2 linked regions of the Solanum lycopersicum genome follow. Each later gene encodes a partner of the first gene's protein in a complex. Links are inferred from orthologs where the notes say so. Each region holds a gene or a part of one and is shown on either strand. Other genes may lie near its edges.

Region 1 (3,729 bases):
AAGGGCAAGTTATGATATTCTGCACAAATATCATTTTAAGGGGCATGTCTCATACATGGCTGTAAGCTCACTGATTTAGACAGTTTTCATGTTTGCATGGTAATTATTTGCAGACATAGTTAAAACTATGATAGACTACGGTGCGCCTTGCTTTAAGGGCAAACAGATAGGTTAAAAAAGTTCAAACTACTTTATAGTTATTCAGATATCACTAAAAACAGTTCTTTGATACCTGTCTGTGACCAATATTCCTTCTGTAGTTCTTTTTCTTCTTATACTTGAAGACGATAACCTTCTTATCTTTCAACTGCATGGAAATGTAATAATGAGCCAACAGATATGTCAAGTAAACAAGATATACTCAGTGGAAACTACAGCAGAGGAAGAATGATGTCTGACCTGCTCTTCAACAACAGCGTGGACTGTTGCATTTGGCACCACTGGTTTTCCAACCCAAGTACTTGTTTTTGTTCCCACAAGTAACACCTTGTTTAGGATAATCTGCAGAAGCAACAAGTATAGATGCTTCAACAATGATCCTCATTGTGGAAATTTTGAAATAAGAGTATTGCCAATATGGCAAGAAAACCTTGACATACACATATAACCCTTATATCAAGTGTTAGCTTCCGTGGAAAATAACTGGTGAAGACAATGTATTAAAGATAATAGAAATAGGACAAGCAAATGTCACTATTGGTTGAAATTGATGCCTTTTGACATAATTGAGAAATTGCTGCAAGCAAGTTCTTTTTGATTGGACACCACAATGTTGATATGAGATAGCGAGACAAGGAAAAAGAAAAACAACTCACGTAACTAAAGCCAAAGCCACAGAGAGGTAACCAGATTTTGGGAAATCAATTGTAAATTAAGACCAAAAATGCTCACTTTGTCATTGACATTTGCACCTTTAAGCCTCTGGGTGTAGATATACCGCCCAGGAAAAACAATATATTGCCGAGATCCAACCTATGAAAGCGAAAGAGCAAAAATGAACAAACAGCTTAACGTATTAAAGACAAGCCCCATAGAGTTATATTAGGGTAGTGTCACATTCATCTGAAAAAAAGAAAAAAGAACAAAATAAAGCACAAAATTTGACACCTAGAGGACTTGAAAATTGTTAGCAGCAGGAATAATGATCAGATTGAAATAGCAGCTATAATCTCCTCGCAAGAGTGAGTATTTTCCACATGGAAAAGAAAAAATATTCATCAAATAAGTAGTAAACATGAATGTTTTCTCCGGTTAAATACAATAGTTCACAATTCACATTAAATAAAAGATGAAAGTGTAGAATATGGCAACCTCAAAATCAAATTTCAACAATTACTAGACTTTTGCTTAAATGTTTGCATGGACTTGTAGATATGTATTCCCTCTGACAACTGTATAACACCTAAAGTTAGAACTAAATGATAGTTATCAGTTATTTATTAGTTATATTACTTCTAATCTGCCATATGAACCCCTTTGCAACTTAACTAGAGGAAACGCCTACCGAAAATAGATGGCCCACTTGTAAAACGAAATTAAACTAAAACCAAAGAGAACATAGACTGAGATTTTTGAAATTGGATGGTGTCCAGAACACAGGTAAGGATATACCAAGTACTAAATCTTCGTCATGTCTTCATAATAATTATAGTTTTCTGTTAACATCAGCCAACTCTACTGGAGAATACTAAGCATATAAAAAGTTCAGTTCAGCTTATTTAGCACGGACTATTTTAACATTTCCAATAGCCACCACCACTGCCAAGTCAATATGACACAAACATATAGACATGTGTATTGTTCCTTTAAGACACCCTAAAACAGAATGCTAAACCTAAGCATCACAGAATGGCATTGACGTATAAATAACAGAACGAAAGAATTTCATTGTAACACTCCCTATTTTCACCACATACACCATAGGAAGCAGTAATGTATCAACAGTACTAGCAAACACGAAATATGAACTAAGTGAGTGAGGTGTGGTGGAACATTCTTCATGAAAACAAATTTTTGGAACTTCTAATCCGTTTGACATAAAGGAAGTTTTCGTTCTAGTGGCAAAGGTTAATTCGAGAAATTGCTTCAATAATAGGTCTGAGTAATTTTGAATTCCCCTTATTAAAATTCCGACTGCTTTTGTGATATCAAAGGTTGAGCACATGACAATCTTGAACCAAAGTTGTGATCTCTATACAACAAAGTAACATTCCCTTAGAGGGAATAGATCAATTTCCTATTTCCTTCGAGAAAAAAATTCAAGGTAACAGACAACTGAAACATTTTCCGCTGAATTTTCAAATTTTCATTTGGGACCTCATAATTTTTTCAATAAAAATCTAAATTGTACCCTCACATTGATTTCGAAATTGAAAACAAACAGATATGTCTACACAAATTTAAACATGAATGGAAGTGAGTCGTCACCATAACAACAGCAAAGATTTCTTCCCGTTTTGGTTCCAAGCTAGTGGCTTCCACAACAGGCTCTTCTTGGTCAGCTTCAACTTCAGCTACTGGAGCTTCAGATTCTGAGTATTTGGGTACAAAAGAGGATAAAGAATTGGGCTTGGAGAAACGGAGATTGAGAGAGGAAAATGAGTGAGATAGAAAAGTAACATTGGAATTTGCTTTGGGAACAGAAAGGGTGTTAAGAAAAGTTTGGTTCTTGGAAAGTGCTGTTGAGGGGGAAGATGTAGAACACAGGGAAAGGGTTGCCATTGTTAGAGAGTGAGAGGTTTTTTTTGGGTATTCTCTGTCTCTCTCTCAATTTTATCTGTTGAAGCCTATCCTATCTGCAGTGGTAGCCAAATGACTATTTTACCCCGAAATCCTTTATTTATTTTTTTAAAAATAATTGTATTAGAAATAGTATAAATTTACATATTCTCGTAACATAATACTCCCTTCGTTTCAAAAAGAACGTCTCTATTTCCTTTTTTAGTCTGTTTCAAAACAAAAAACTCATTTCCTTTTTTCATAATATTTTAACTTGAACTTTCCACGTGACATGTTTAAGACCACAAGATTAAAGGATATTTTGGTACATTTGACATAACTTTAATTTAGAATCACAAGATTAAAAAATTTTTTTTTCTTCTTAAATTCTGTTTCAAGGCAAGCTAGACCATCCTTTTTGAAATGGAGAGATTAACAAATATTCTAAATTATATAATAGGTCATTTACTCTTGAAGCCATCATTGTTTAATTTTGACTCGAGGTTAGTTATGTAAAGCCTCCCATCTACTTTTTGCAATTACATATACATTATATTTAATTTTCATAGTGCTAGTACTATTTTTGATATGTTTTATTTAATTTGAGGCTCTTAAAAAATAATTATTCTATCTTTAAAACGTAGAAGTAAGATTACAAATACGTGGTAAGAAGAGTAAAATAAGAACAAAAGTAATGCCATTTGTTATGTTAAAAATCAAGCCCGCAAAATTGGAAGGAAAAAAAAATAAATCAAAAAAATTACACAAATAAAAGAAGACTGAAATTTATTTTAGTGTTTAATATATGACAAAATGATCTTAAAAGGTACTCAATTTCCAGTAACATCAAATTAATATAGACATAAAGAAGGTTTTTACAACACTTCTCAGGTACAAACAACTGTAATATTTTAGAATTTATGAACTAGAGGAAAAACCCTCAAATTATATAAGATAAAGTAGCAAAAGTAGGAGTAACGTTTGTTTACATCCCACCCTCTCCAGATCTCG
Region 2 (3,757 bases), on another chromosome or scaffold:
AACATATAGTAGTAATTAGTTCGCATACTACTATTTACATGCTATGGCAGAAAGATTGGAAAATGGTACCTCTGTATCTGTGCTTTTATAATATCAACGAGATCCTGAGCAGTGACACTGCAAGAGAGATGACGTCAAAAGGTAGATCAAATATTCACCAAGTTGCTCATCACAATTTAGTATTTCACTGACCTTCCAAATATTTGCTTTCCTTTCCCACCCTTACGCTTCACCTTGAAGGCTCCAATAGTTTCAAAAATTCGAGCAAGCTGTTGTGCCTCATCTTTCACCTGAAATCAAAAACGTTTAACTAAAACCACATTCATTATGAAACTCTTTTAGACTTTTAGTGACTTGAAAATAAAAAAAAAATGTATATATTTTTCAACTTTCAATAGATTAGATTAATCAGAATAATCTAATTACCCGTTGTTTTTCAGCCTCAATTTTCTCGTCTTCCATCTTCATTTCCCTGAGTAAAAAGTACATAATGTTATAAAATAAAAATGCATCCATGAAGTTAGTTAATTCTCACTGATGGCGAAGCACGCTAATAGCTATCAAAAATATCAAACCAAAATTGCTTCTAACAACCATCTCTAACGAAGCCTTCACCTATTTGTTTTGTTCTTTAGTATGAAATAGCAAATCCCTTATATATAAGACTTTTACAGGACTATCACACCATTAATGTTAACAGCTGGTTAGGCCTATTGCTCACCCAAAAGCTAAAGACAAAGTCACTAAGTAGTAGGAAATCTAAAGTTTTATATCCAACCATTATCCATCTTATGCATTGTGGGACATTGTATTGAAGACGAATCCGTTATCAATAAATTATATTTGGTTAAAAGAAGCGAATTTACTTAAACCTATAATCATTAATCATACGAAGCACTATTTCAGGGAACAAAAGCCATACAGAGTTTGTGTACTGACCAAGAGTTATAACACCAAAGCCATACAGAGTTTCTGCTCAAGGAGTATCGAAAATGATTATTCTGGTACGACCTTTGCACGAAGATATGTATAATCCATGGGTCCGTCCACTTTTCAGCTAGTTACAATTAGTTTAAAGGATCCCATAGACTAAGTATACCTATTTTATCTCCATTCGACATAGGTCCATTGGTTTAGATAAAAGATAAAACAAAACAAGCAATAGTAATAACATACTTCCACTCATCAACAGCCAAGCAAAGTATTGTGTGTGGCATTTTAAATAGTTGAACCAAAGAATCCTGACATTAATTATGAGGCATGAAAATAAGATAACGAACAGAAGAACCAAAGTCTTGAGTTCAATAATAAGGTTAAGTCGATAATTTAACTAGTCATAATGCAGAAACAGACACTTGAACTCGGCATCAACTAGCAAGAAAACACTCAAACTCGGCATCAACTAGCAAGAAAACACTCCAACTTTGAGTATGCACATCTACACCTCAACTCATCTCCACTGTGTCAGTTGAACACTCCAACTTACAAAATGATCATCTAGGCACCAACCAAATATATTTGCCACATCAACATCAGGTGTCCATGACACACTGTGGATTATGCCGTTAAACTATACAGGGTGATTGGAAATGTGAATATTCAACACTTAAAATCAACTAACAGTCTCCAAAAGGAATACTTAAAAATCCATCCAACACAAGCAGAACCAATTTTAACAAACATTAAGGGGGTGTTTTGTAGCTAGTAAAAAAGCAACTTACTCATATATTAACTTAATGTATAAGTAATACAATGTTTGGCAGTTAGTTAGAGAATAAGTTATTCATGTATAAAATCAACACAAAGTTTAATTTGTAATTCAAAAACCTACCTAACTAATATATAATGTATTATCTTATGCAGGTTACAAGACGAAATAACTGATACCTGCGTAACTCTACCAAGCTACCAAACAACCGCGAACTCCACAAAAGTACAGCTAATGAAAGAAGAACCTAAAAGGCAATGAAATCAAATGGCAAAAATCTAGTTCAAAGTAGAGTTAAACGAGTTACTTGATAAGTGCAGCTGTCACAATTTGAGCTTTGCCCAATGGTAGCAAATAATTCCTAAAGAATCCAGCTTTAACATCCAAAAGGTCTCCCTTTTTACCCAACTGTGAAATATCCTCTTTCAGTATTATCTGTTCCATCAAAACAAAAAATACCCAATTCAGCTATTAACCATAAATGGACAAAAAATGAGATTTTGACAATTATAAATCCAACCCATTATCACATTTTCAAGAATTAGCTCACCTTTCGAACTTTCTTGGCTTTTTTCTGAGCAACAATTGTTAAAATTGAAGTTCTTTCTGAAAATTTCACTGTTTCGGAAAATGGGTTTTTGGTTAAGCTGTAATTTTGGAGACAAGAAGATGAACCCCATGACGCCATAGCTAAGTCTTCCTTCTTCTTTTCTTCACTTTTTGCTCCGTTTTTCTGTATTTTTTACAGTTTATAGCGTTATCTTATCTGTAATGGCGAACTGAAGAAGATAATGGATGTCTTAATGGGCCAACAAAACTTATTGGGACAATTCATGTAAAGCCCATTTCTTAGTCCAATTATAATATTTTAGGCTATTTGGGCGAAGGACAGAAATCACATACTTTTAAGGCAAAATTACCATTTGTTTTTTACAAGTATATAATTACAAAAATTTCTCAAATGATACAATAATATATTATTGTATCATTTGATACATTAATCTGATGTGTGAGATACATTAATCATTAAGTACGATACATTACATTTATACATAATACACTAATCTGATGTACACTTTATACAAGATACATTAATCTGATGCGCGATATACATTAATCTGATGCGTGATATATATTAATTTGATGTGCGAGATACATTAATTTGATGTGCTGATACGTTAATTTGATGTGTGAAAATGAGGGATTTTGGAGATTTGTAAAACTAATAGGGGATAATAATAGTAAGAGAACTTAAAAGTGAGATTTCTATCATTTACCCTTACTGAAATACACGTCTTATATTTTCCTTATTTTCATATATCCCCTTTTATTTCTAAAGACCTCTAAAATCCATTATTTCTTTAATGTATCCGAGCTACATATTAATGTATCCGAGCTAGTATTTAATGTATCCGAGTTACATATTATGTATGCGATTTATTTTATAATGTACCCGATCTAGTTTTTAATGTATCTGAACTACATATTATGCATCCGATTTATGCTATAATGCATCTAAGATACTCTTTAATGTATTCGAGTTACATATAAATGTATCCGATTTGTGTTACTTTTTAAGGGATTAATGAAATTACAAACTAAAGAGGGATGAATTATAATTTCATATTAAAATTATGTGATTTCTAAAATTTATCCAAAAAAAACAGCCCAACATAATACTCCATCCGTCTCAATTCATGTGGTGTTGCTTGACTAAGTAGTGGACATTGGACACGAAGTTTAAAAAATATGAAAATACTTTGTATATCTCAAAACTATCCTTAGAAAGAACACAACTTTGTAGACGTTTTGTCGAATAAGTGGGATCCAGTCATCTACAAAATATTGACAGTGTCATTAACTATTTATCAAATAAAGAAATGTATCGTTCTTTTAGAATTGACTAAAAAAAAGTTTGTCATCTAAATCCGGAGGGAGAGTATTTTACATTCACTTAGCCATATTTTTTTCATCAAAGTCATACTTGTAAAAGCGTACTCTTTCTGTCTCTCATACATTATTGTTTTGTATTTACACATATAAATAAGG

Evidence for each region.
Region 2: large ribosomal subunit protein bL21c (region 1) and large ribosomal subunit protein bL9c share a complex: the UniProt entries of both Arabidopsis thaliana proteins name them as parts of the 50S ribosomal subunit. The link is inferred for Solanum lycopersicum from reciprocal best matches to the Arabidopsis thaliana genes RPL21C and RPL9.

Annotation. Positions count from the first base shown.
Region 1 is NC_090805.1:43,262,006-43,265,734, reverse strand, and holds the start of large ribosomal subunit protein bL21c, read right to left. Parts: upstream 2,845-3,729; 5' UTR 2,722-2,844; coding exon 2,428-2,721; intron 973-2,427; coding exon 892-972; intron 502-891; coding exon 400-501; intron 308-399; coding exon 233-307; intron 1-232. UniProt on the Arabidopsis thaliana protein: This protein binds to 23S ribosomal RNA in the presence of protein L20.
Region 2 is NC_090810.1:57,591,789-57,595,545, forward strand, and holds the start of large ribosomal subunit protein bL9c, read right to left. Parts: upstream 2,542-3,757; 5' UTR 2,397-2,541; coding exon 2,259-2,396; intron 2,144-2,258; coding exon 2,016-2,143; intron 473-2,015; coding exon 427-472; intron 291-426; coding exon 193-290; intron 118-192; coding exon 70-117; intron 1-69. UniProt on the Arabidopsis thaliana protein: Binds to the 23S rRNA.